Ovis aries: one gene and its partners. The protein of the gene in region 1 purifies or fractionates together with the protein of each later gene. This does not show direct contact. Links are inferred from orthologs where the notes say so. Each region holds a gene or a part of one and is shown in the gene's direction. Other genes may lie near its edges.

Region 1 (3,717 bases):
TGCTCTGTCCCACAACTCATTTCTCTCCGTGAAGGTGGCCACTGTTAGATTTACGCACATACAAGCCAAGTGTGTCCCAGGCTTCCTCTGCCACTTTTACACACCTTGCCACACTGTAAAGTCCTCTTCCTTTGCTTCCTTGCTTTCCCCCCCAAGTTTGTCTTAGCAGTGATCTGTTTGTAAGAGTTTATAGAGAATGTCAGTGGTTTTTTCTGTGACTGCATGGTATTCCAGGACATCGGTGTACTGTAGATTGTTTAATTAGTCCCTTAGTGAGGCATGTTCTGGGTTTTCTGGTTCTTAGCTGTGACCAAATAGGGCTGCAGCAAATAACCTTGTGAATTTTCACTTTGCATTTCTCTTATTAGGAGTATGCTGTGTTTCTTTTATGATGAGCATCATTTCATTTGTGTAGGAACTGTGTTTCACTTCCTGTGAACCATCCCTTGACCTGTCTTTTTCTGTTGGGTTGCTGATCTTCTCATTGACATGCAGGAGGAATTGTTCATTTGTGACCAAGTCAGGACGAATTGTAGGTGAAACCTGAAGGACTAACCAACCCTTATCCTTTAACAGGTTGACTACCTTGAAATAGTTCCGGACACTGAAAGGTACCCGGTGGCAGTGGCCACCGCTGGAGATCTTGTATACCTGCTAAAAGCTGAAGACTCTGCCAGAACCCTCCATTACGTCTACGGGCAGCCGGTCACGTGTCTGGACGTCTCCGCCAACCAGGCTGCTTTCGGTGTGAAGAGTCTGGGATGGGTGTACGAAGGAAACAAGGTACAAAAATAGAAAGATGTACGATTTAACAAAAACACATGAATGTTATATTTGAAGAGGCAATTTGAAAATTAAATCTCTGATATATTTTTAAAAGATGTGTTCAGGCAGTATATATTGATATATATATATGTGTGTGTGTGTATATATATAATCAGCCTGGTTAAAAAAGATTTCAGGTAGCTCAAAATGATATAAAGTGGCAAGTAATTTCCTTTCTCTTCCCTTCCCCCAGCCCTACTCCATAGAAGAAACTATTAACAGTTTTTAGATATCCATCTAGAAAATTTTAATGCATAGGTGGGTACGTTTATACACTAAAAGAGTGTATCTTTGAAATGAGGTCGTAGTGTAACTACTGTTCTGTGCCCAAGGTTTTATTCAGTAGCGTACCCTGGAGAGCATTCCGTGTCAGCTCCCTCTCCCTGGGATTCCAGCACTGCCTACGACAGTCTGCTTCACCAGTCTCCTCATCGCTGGGCACTGAGGTTGCTTTCTCTCTCTGTGGACTGTTAACAGACAGTGCTCCAGTGCACACTGCAACTTGTCAATCCCCGGGATGAATTCCTAGCATTTATGCCGCTTGGTCAGAAGGTTGATGGACATTGCCAAAGTGCCTTCTGATGAGGTTGCCTCGAAATTTACATCCTTTTCTGCAGTGTGTAAAGTGCCTCTTGATACTCTCTGAGCCAGAAACAAGGAGACAGGTTTCTAATTGAAATTCTTTGCATGATGACTCGATTTTAGCACTACTTAGTATTTTACTATCCTGACTGTAGGCCAAGTATTTAGTCTTAAAACTGACTTACAGAACTCTCTCTTCCAATGGGATCAGCGGGGAGAGTTATGGATAAAGGTTTGTGTTGTTTTGATTTTCCTCCAGTTTGCTGGCTCCTCACCCTGCTGGCAGTGGGTATAATCCCTGGGAAGGAACTTCTCCGAGCCAGCAGCTCCTCTGATATCGTCCTTTTCCTGTGGAAAGAGCCCTTTCCACGTAGCAGTGTCCTGAACTGGGAGAGAGCTAGACTGGATACAGGCTGTCTGTGTTCCAGTTCTAACCCTGCCACCCGCTCCCCACTGTGACCTTAAACGGGTAGCTTAACCTGCATTGTGCCTTAGTTTCCTCATTTGTAAAAAGGAGTCCCATCACAGTACTGACCTCGTAGAATTCTAAGATTAAAGAAACAACGTGTGTAAAGCTTTACCCATAGTGCCTGGCATCAGAGAATTAACAGTCTCTGAGTGCTTCCTGTTCTTTTTCGCACTCATAGTCTGAGCCGAGCCTCTGGTTGTGGTTTGTACATTTTGTCTCTCCTGTGTAATCTCCTGGAAGGTCACATCTCACTTCTCTAGGCGTTTACTGGTTTTGTGACTTGGATTCCTATTATATGTTCTTCAACCAGGAAGACAGATAAAGTGGTTGAAAATACATGAGACTCATTGTAATCTCACTGTAAAAAGGGATCCCTTTGTGCTCAAGCTGGCCTGCTTTGCTGGAGCCTGTTTAGCGTATCTTAGCTGGAGAGTCTGTGATGATATAATTCCTGTGTTTTATCCTCCTGGAAAGTGGGGAAAAAGGGACAGCAGTTGGTTTCCTAAGGCAGTTTCCTTTGTCAGCCTTTGAAAACACTCTTTTCCCATCCCTGGCAAGCTCAAGCTCATTTATTGAAAGAAGAGAGACTATTTGCTTCTTAATTTTTCATCCATCATGCTTTCAGGTTTCAATTATCTCTCTTATTTCTCAGGTTCTCAGTGTAGTGAGGTGATACCTGAATTAATACTAGCCTGGTTTAAATCTTTCATAGTTTTAGTAAATATTTCAGCTGACAGGTCCTATTTCTCTTTGACTTATCTGAGTGGATCTCTTTCTATAGTGATACAGTCGTAGTTGGATGTATTTGAGAAACAGATATATTTGAGAAACCAGTTAAAGGGATGTGTGTGTGCTCAGTTGCTCAGTCGTGTCCAGCTCTTTGTGACCCCATGGACTGTAGCCTGCCAGACTTCTCTGCCCATGGAATTTTCCAGGCAAGAATATTGGAGTGGGTTGCCATATCCTCCTTTCGGGGGATCTTCCTGACCCAGGGATTGAACCTTTGTCTCCTGCATTGGCAGGCAGATTCTTTACCACTGCCATCTGGGAAGCCAAGCCCCTGGTTAAAGAAATAGCTCAGCACAAAATTAGACTTGGAGCACCCTTTAGATATTGGTCTAAATAGGCGCTTTTTTGGATGGCTCTCAAATTTTCCAACCCAATTAAAAAGCATTAATTATGAGAATTAGCTGATTTGTATGTTAATTTGATAAAAATTCATTTTAAAAAGTTCCTGTTCCCTCTAATAACTTGCTGTTGTTCACTTACCAAGACATGTCTGGCTCTTTATGACCCCATGGACTGCAGCACACCAGACTTCTCTGTCCTTCACTCTCTCCTGGCGCTTACTCAAACTCATGTCCATTGAGTCAGTGATGCCATCCAGCCATCTCATCCTTGGCCATCCCCTTCTCCTCTTGCCCTCAGTTTTTCCCAGCATCAGGGTCTTAACCGGTGAGTCGTCTTTTCTCATCATGTGCCCGAGGTGGAGCTTCAGCTTCAGCATCAGCCCTTCCAGTGAATATTCAGGGTTGATTTCCTTTAGGATTGACTGCTTTGATCTCCTTGCAGTCCAAGCAACTCTCAAGAGTCTTCTGTAGCACCACAGTTGGAAAGCATCAATTCTTCAGTGCTCAGCCTTATCTATGATCCAACTCTCACATTCATTCGTGACTCTTGGAAAAACCATAGCCTTGACTAGATGGACCTTTGTCGGCAAAGTGATATCTCTCCTTTTTAATAGGCTGTCTGGGTTTGTCATAGCTTTTCTTCTAAGGAGCAAGTGTCTTTTGATTTCGTGGCTGCAGTCAACCCTCCGCAGCGATTTTGGTGCTAAGAAA
Region 2 (3,817 bases), on another chromosome or scaffold:
GCTCCTGTCTATGCCATTTGGCCTATGCATGTGAACATGCCCCCCCCCCCACACACACACACACGTCAGATTATTTGAGATTCAAATCCAGGTTCCCATTCTTCTTGCTCATGTGACCTTGAGCAAGTGATTTTTTCCCCTCAGCTGTAAAATGGGAATGAGCATCGTATTACCTGTCTCATAATGCTTTGGTGAAGATTTCATGAGTTAATTTGTATTAATAGAGTGATGTCTAGTATTAATACATAGCTAGTCCTGGTGGGCTGCCGTCTATGGGGTAGCACAGTCGGACACGACTGAAGCGACTTAGCAGCAGCAGCAGCAGCAGCAGCAGTGCTCCATAAAAGGTGACTATCCTCAGTTACTTTTTTTTTCATAGCTGCCTAATATTTTACTGAAAGAACCGAGTTTCTACTGATGATCAGGTTGCTGTTGTTTGGTGGCTAAGTTGTGTCCAACTCTTTGCAACCCCATGGACTGCAGCACAGCCAGGCTTCCGTGTCCTTCACTATCTCCGGGAGTTTGCTCAGTCTCTTGTCCACTGAAGCCTGTGATCCCATCCAACCATTCATTCATTCACTCAGAAGTATTCTAGAGCACCTACTGTGTGCCAAGCTCCATCCTGGAGCTGGTACCAAGTTCTCTACCCACCTGTTTGGGTCTATAGGTAGGAAGTGCGGATACCAAAAGTCACGTGATTTTAAAATAGTAATACACCGTGCCAACGGGTTTCAGAGGGACTGCCCCATTTGCACGCCCACCTTCCGGGCTTGGCTGGAACCCGCACGTTTGGGATGGCAGGTTTGGGAACGGCCGCCTTTCCCGGGGAAAGCTGCTGACGTGGGCTTCGCTTCGGCGCGGGGCGATCGGCTAGGAAGACGGGGCCTCAGAGAGGCCCGGGGCGCGGCCACACCCCTGTGGGGGAGGGGAATGAGGGCGTCCCGAAGGGAGTGGACAGCCCCCCTGTCAGTCTTCCCGAGTCCCGGAGTGTAAGATGAGAAGGGGGAAGGTGGGCCCCATCCTGGGGGCCGGCGAGGAGGAACTTCCTGCCCGCGCGCGCGCTCCTCGGCCGGGAGGCGGGAGGCGCGGCAAGGTCAGCCTGGCCTGAGGTGGAAGCCTGCCTAGGAGTGGGAGACCCTCCTGGGGAGCTGCGCCGCGGCCTCCGAGCGCCTCGGCCATATTGAATAGCCAAGGCTGAGCCGCCTTTGTCTGCGAAGTCCTCTCTCAAGTTCCAGGCGCATCTGTGGCACAGGAAGAACCACCGGACAGCCCGTGCGCCCGCAGTTGGAGCCGGGACACCGCGTCTGCAGCTTGCAGTGGGCTGGGAGCCTCAGAACTGACCTCACCCCGGCTCACGTAAGCATCCTGGAAATTGATTCCCACTAATCCTTCGCGGGGAGCGGATCGAGACCGGACTTGTTGCAGAGGAAAGTGGGAAGTGAGACTCTCAGGGCAGCGCTGCGGGGAGAGCAACCTACCCCCCTCTCCCCGCCCAAGACTCGAGGCTACGAGCAGTTTGGGCTCATTGCCCCCAGCCCAGATTTCACCCTGGAGATCTTAAAGACGCTCGAGAAAAGCCATGTGGGGGGCTGGTTCCCCTGGGGCTTCCTCCCGTCCCCCGACTGCCTCATCCTTTGGAGCGTCCCGGACGTCTGCAAAGACGTGGATCTGGACGTCCTCGTCGAAGCTTTGAAGCCCGTGGGGACCTTTAAGAAAATCGGCAAGGTGTTCCGCCGGGAGGAGGACTCCACCGTGGGCATGCTGCAGATTGGGGAAGATGTGGACTATCTGCTCATCCCCCGCGAGGTCCGGCTGGCCGGGGGCGTCTGGAGGGTCATTTCCAAGCCGGCCACCAAGGAGGCAGAATTTCGGGAACGGCTGATCCAGTTTCTGGAAGAAGAGGGCCGCACCCTGGAGGACGTGGCCCGCATCATCGAGAAGAGCACCCCGCATCCACCCCAGCCCCCTAGAAAGTCTAAGGAGCCCCGAGTGAGGAGGAGAGTCCAGCAGATGGTGACCCCACCCCCCCGGCTGGTCGTGGGCACTTATGACAGCAGTAACGCCAGTGACAGCGAGTTCAGCGATTTCGAGACCTCCAGGAACAAGGCTGACAAGGGCCGCAAAGGCGCCGGCCGTGGCAGGAAGGTGCGCAAAATGCCCGTCAGTTACCTGGGCAGCAAGTTCCTCGGGAGCGACCTGGAGAGCGAGGATGATGAGGAACTGGTGGAGGCCTTCCTCCGGCGAGGGGAGAAGAAACCCAGCGTGCCTCCTCCCCGCCGCCGGGTGAACCTGCCCGTACCCATGTTTGACGACAGCCCAGGGCCCCAGCAGTCCAAAGCGGACAGGTGGCGGGAGTGTGTCAGCCAGGTGTCCTGGGGGAAGCTGAAGCGGAGGGTGAAGGGCTGGACACCGAAGTCCAGCCCCGGGGTGGGCGAGGCCAGGCAGGCCTCTACCGGGGTGGAGAGGGACAGTGCATCGGTGCCAGGCAGCGCCAGCCTGGGGTGTAACCTGGGAAATGCACGAGATGGGCGGGTGGCTGAGACCCCCCCAAGGCGATGGAGGCCCCAGATCAACTGGGCTTCCTTCAGACGTCGCAGGAGAGAGGAAACAGCTTCCAGAGCTCAGGGGGGAGAGGCTGCAAATGAGCAGAGGGTGGAGGCTGCAAATAATCAGAGGGGGGAGGCCACAGATAATCAGAGGGGGGAGGCTGTAGATAATCAGAGGGTGGAGGCTATAGGTAATCAGAGGGGGGAGGCTGTAGCTAATCAGAGGGGGGAGGCTATAGCTAATCAGAGGGGGGAGGCTGTAGATAATCAGAGGGTGGAGGCTATAGGTAATCAGAGGGGGGAGGCTATAGCTAATCAGAGGGGGGAGGCTATAGCTAATCAGAGGGGGGAGGCTATAGCTAATCAGAGAGCAGGGCCCATAGCTGTCCAGGAGGCAGAGGCTGTGGATAATCAGAGAGCAGATGCCCTGGCTGTCCAGGGGGCAGAGGCCATACCTGTCCAGGGGGCAGAGGCCCCGGCTGACCCGAGGGCAGAAGCTGCAGAGGATCCGAGGGCAGAAGCCCCGGTTGTCCAGGGAGCAGAGGCTGTACCTGATGGGGAAGAAGCTGGATCGGTCCAGAGGGCAGAAGCTGCCTGTAATCAGAGGGCAGAGACCCCGGCTGTTCCGGAGGCTGACTCCTCAGCTGCCGGAAGGGCCACAGGGGCCACTGCAGGAGCTCAGACCCGGAAACCAGTCAAGACAGTGAGGTTCCAGACCCCCGGACGCTTTTCATGGTTTCGGAAGCGCCGGAGAGCCTTCTGGCACACTCCCCGGTTGCCCACGCTACCCAAGAGAGTGCCCAGGGCAGGCGAGGCCAGGAGCCTCAGGGTCCTGCGGGCCGAGGCCAGAGCGGAGGCAGAGCGTGGAGAGCAAGAGGACCAGCTGTGAGGTGAGGGCAGGGGGGCCACGGAGGACCTCAGCACCTGCCGCAGTGTGGGTCCCTCACGGCATGTGTGACTCTCCACACTTGAAAATGGAGGTAGAGTGAGGGCCTGGCAGTGCCTCTCACGTCTCTACCGAATGTCCCTTTCTTATTAAAACTGTATTTTCTATGCATTGATTTTTTTTTTTCTATCTTTCTTTCTCTTTTTTCCCACATGGCTTGTGGGATCTTAGTTTCCTGACCAGGGATTGAACCCAGGTCTCCCCAGTGGTGAAAGTGCTGAGTCCTAACCACTGGACTGCCGGGGAATTCCCTATGCATTGACTTTTTTTTTTGCATTGATTTTTTTTTTTTTAATACAGACTCTTTATAGTAACCCAAGGAATG
Region 3 (3,600 bases), on another chromosome or scaffold:
ATTAAGAACTAGGAACTGAGGCAATGAGAAGTGGAGAGGAAGGTAGAGATGAACTAAATCCTCCCATTAGGGAAAAACAGACGTTGGAAGAAACAAACAGCAAAGGGAAAGTTGACCCACTCAGCTCACGTGTTAGCTGTGGGGAGTCACAGACAGGACGACCATATTGGATGATGAAATGGCAGAGGACAGGTTAGACAAACGGGAGATGAGCTAACCTGTCCTCTGAGGAAAGCTCGCAGCAGTGAGGGTCTCAGAGAAACCATATGTGTGCAGCCTCCCATATATGTGTACATATATATGTACAAGCCTTCCATTTTTACCTTCAATTCTCCCATGTGCCCATGAGAAAGTTAAATACATCTAAGCTTCTTTTGAATATTTAGAAGTATAGGATATTTGTTGCTGTTCTGCCGCTCAGTCCTGTCCAGCTCTTTGCAGCGGCATGGACTGCAGCACGCCAGGCTTCTCCGTCCTTCACCATCTCCCGGAGTCTGCTCCAACTCATGTCCATTGAGGATATAAAGCACGAATTTAAAAATCCTTAAATAGGCTGAGATCACATACTCTGGTGACAGGTACAGACAAATGCCATACTTTTAAAGATAAAGAGTTGTTGACAGAAGGCCACATTTCAATAGGAGGAACCGCATATACAAGTATGTCTTAAGATATTTCTTCTAAGAGACATCCATATTCCTCAGGAAACAGTGAGGGCTGTGGGAGTAGCCCTAGGCTCTGGGCCTAGCATTTCCACCCCAAGGTGATACTCAATGTTTTAGTTTTGGAGCAAAACAGGAAGTTACAGTCATCAAGTCTTTGGCCCAGATAACCTGAAATCTTTCCATGCTGAACTGTTCATGGACCATGGGATTAGAGAAGAAGCCCCTTCAAGTCCAAGCTTTCTCACCTGTGTCCCCACAGGAAGCCAGGTGGCCATTTGCGCTGCCCAAATTTGTATTTCAGGTAACCACTTGTGAGTTAATTTCAGATGAATGAGACGAACGACTCCGCAGCACTGGTGAAAACAGTCCTATTCAATAGTCATACCTCACTCATCCCATCCATATATGTAAGATCTTCAATTTCATTCTTCACTTAATCTTTACAGAGATTAATGGTAAAGTGTCTTTGTCGACCTCTGTTCAAAAAAGAGTGGGTTAGAGAGTTTGAAGAGGTAAGCTAATTTGGTTTGATCTCCGAACCAATTTTAGAGAGAGAGAGAGACAGAGAGACGCCGAGGAGCTGGGACTTTGAGGTGCCGATCCACGAGGCCGCAGGTGTCCTGGGGTTCAGAGAATGGACGGCACGTTTCTCTGGAGTCTGCTGCGCCTGCCTTTCAGGGCCACTCGCCCATCTCTGACTTTTATCAGCCGGTCGGGGTATGGCTTTTGGTTATCCTCCCGCCGGGAAGGTAGATCCAGCGGGTGTAGTTGTGATCCGTGTCGGTTCAGTGTGTGTGCGCGCAGGAGCGGGGGAGGGCGGCGTGTAAGACCCTCTGCTCCGGGGTGTTTCGGGCCGGTTTCTCCTCAGGCTGGGGCCCCGACCTAGGAAGGTGACCACCCCCGCCCCCTCCTCGTTCGGCCCAAAGTGGCGGGAAGCCGGGTCCTCAGAGGCGGCCCCCAAGGCCAGGGAGGCAGTAAAACCTGGAGGAGGATCCGGTGCGCCCGTCCGGGGAGGGTGCGGCGTCCATGGCCAGGGGCCCGCGGGGGCTTTCAGGTAGAGAGCAGCCCCGCGAGCGGGGCCTCGGCGGCGCGGGGCGGCGGGCGGGGTGGGGAGAACTCGGGGCCGCGGCACGGCGGGCGGGGGCTTTCGGGCCCCTCCCGCTCCGCGGGGCTGGTGGGGAGATGGCGGCGACGGTTTCCCGGCTCCCCCGCCCCGGACGCCGATGGCGGAGCGTTCCGGCCCTCCCCCCCCAGCTTCTCCACCGCGGGAGCCGGAGCCGGTGAGGCCGGGAGGGCGGGGAGCGGCGAAGGGAAGGAGAGAGGGCGGAGGTTGCGTGGTGCAGGCGGCGGCGGCGGGAGGAGGGCCGGCGGGCGGGCCGGGAGGAGGAGGAGGAGGAGGAGGCGGGAGCCGTGTCGCACGCAGCTCCAGGCGGGGCAGCCCCGGCGGCTGAGGGACGCGGCGAGACCTTGGCGGGACGGGGATTTAACCGGGGCCGGGCCCAGCGACCAGGTGGAGACGTCGCCGGAGCCATTTAGGCAGCCGGGAAATGCGGGTGAGTTGTCGGCGGCGCCGGGGCTGAGGGGAGGCGGCGGCGGCGGCGCAGGCCCGACCCGGAGCCGCGGTGTCGCAGTGACTGGGGCCGCGGCGGCCGAGCTCAGGCGCCGGGCGAGAGGCCCGAGGCGCCGAGCCGCGACCGGGCGGAATGGCGGCGGGGGCCGGGGCACTCGTGGGCAGAGGGCGCCGGGGGCGGGAGGGGAGCGCGCGCGCGCGCGCGCGGGGTCCGGCCCTGAGTCACCCCGGCCGGCTCGGGCCTGGCGGGCCGCGGCCCCGGACGCGGGCTCGGGGCGGCCCAGGCCCGGACTACGCACTGGGGAAAAAAAAAAAAAAAGGCCCGATTCATCGCGCCCGAGGCGGCGGCCTGGTGGCGTCCGCCCCTTTCCCAGCGCGACCCGCCTCGGGCCGCGGAGCCGGGCTGGCGAGCGGCCCCCGGGGCAGTCGGGCGCGCGCGCCTCACCTCTCTCCAGGCGGCGACCACCACCCCACCTCAACCAAGGGGTGCCCGAGCCCGCGCCCTCTTTCCCTCGGCCCCCCTGGGGACCCACCGCTCCCCCGAGCGTCGCTTGCCCCCGACTCGTGCTCTCAAGTAAAGTACTGGGCTTGCGCGCCGGAGGAGCCGCGGAGCCGGGCTCTCTCTGCTTTCCGGTTCCCTGCCCCGCGGCTCCCGGGTTTCCCCGCCCGCATTGTTGCGACTGTGCAGGGCGCTATTATTGGGTAACAGTCGCCCCTTTGCCCGGTTCTCCTCGGGGAGCGGGCCCGGGGCGGCGCGCAGGGATGCGAGTGCGGCGGCCGAAGCGGACGGAGCGCCCCCCCCGCCCCCCTCCGCGGCGGCCGCCGAGCGCCCGCGAGTCGGGCCGGGCCTGCGCCGCCGCCTCGGCGCGCCCCCGGCCCTGCACCCGGCGGGAGCGCGCGCTGACCCCGCAGGTAACCCGGGCGCCGGCCGGCCGCGTGCAGGGGTCGCCCCGCGCGCCCTTCTGGCCCCCCGTGTGCTGTATGCCTAGTGCTGGTGGTTCCGGGCAGAAACGCATGGTGAACGTTCCTTGAGCCTAATCCTCCAAAGTTGAGGGTTTTCTCCCTTTAGCGAGCTCTCTGCCAAAAATAGGATCCTCTTTTCGGATTGGATCACTGTCGTTGCTCACAGTTCGCAGCTGGAGTTAGTGGTGAGGGTGCAAATGAGGAATTGCAGTTAAGTGTTTATTTGCTCTGTGTAATTGCTCTTCGCGCAGTGGCATTAAAACAGTCCAAGTTAGTGGAGTCAGGGGTCACGTAGTTTTGGAAATGCACTCATCGGAGTGACAGAAGGGACTGAAATTCACTTTTACTTGAACCCCCAGCTTCTAGACCTCAGCATAGCTTTAGCAGTCTGCAAAAGCATGG

What was found.
Region 2: the proteins of FBXW8 (region 1) and CCDC8 purify together in Homo sapiens (affinity purification with mass spectrometry; 3 studies listed by BioGRID and IntAct, with this or other methods). This does not show direct contact. The link is inferred for Ovis aries from reciprocal best matches to the Homo sapiens genes FBXW8 and CCDC8.
Region 3: the proteins of FBXW8 (region 1) and CUL1 purify together in Homo sapiens (affinity purification with western blotting; 9 studies listed by BioGRID and IntAct, with this or other methods). This does not show direct contact. The link is inferred for Ovis aries from reciprocal best matches to the Homo sapiens genes FBXW8 and CUL1.

What each region holds. Positions count from the first base shown.
Region 1 is NC_056070.1:58,087,833-58,091,549, reverse strand, and holds part of FBXW8 (F-box/WD repeat-containing protein 8), read left to right. Parts: intron 1-576; coding exon 577-783; intron 784-3,717. UniProt on the Homo sapiens protein: Substrate-recognition component of the Cul7-RING(FBXW8) ubiquitin ligase complex, which mediates the ubiquitination and subsequent proteasomal degradation of target proteins.
Region 2 is NC_056067.1:53,468,969-53,472,785, forward strand, and holds the start of CCDC8 (coiled-coil domain-containing protein 8), read left to right. Parts: upstream 1-1,071; 5' UTR 1,072-1,758; coding exon 1,759-3,435; 3' UTR 3,436-3,817. UniProt on the Homo sapiens protein: Core component of the 3M complex, a complex required to regulate microtubule dynamics and genome integrity. It is unclear how the 3M complex regulates microtubules, it could act by controlling the level of a microtubule stabilizer.
Region 3 is NC_056057.1:113,064,495-113,068,094, forward strand, and holds the start of CUL1 (cullin-1), read left to right. Parts: upstream 1-1,236; 5' UTR 1,237-1,382; intron 1,383-1,638; exon of another isoform or gene 1,639-1,945; intron 1,946-2,092; exon of another isoform or gene 2,093-2,218; intron 2,219-3,600. UniProt on the Homo sapiens protein: Core component of multiple cullin-RING-based SCF (SKP1-CUL1-F-box protein) E3 ubiquitin-protein ligase complexes, which mediate the ubiquitination of proteins involved in cell cycle progression, signal transduction and transcription.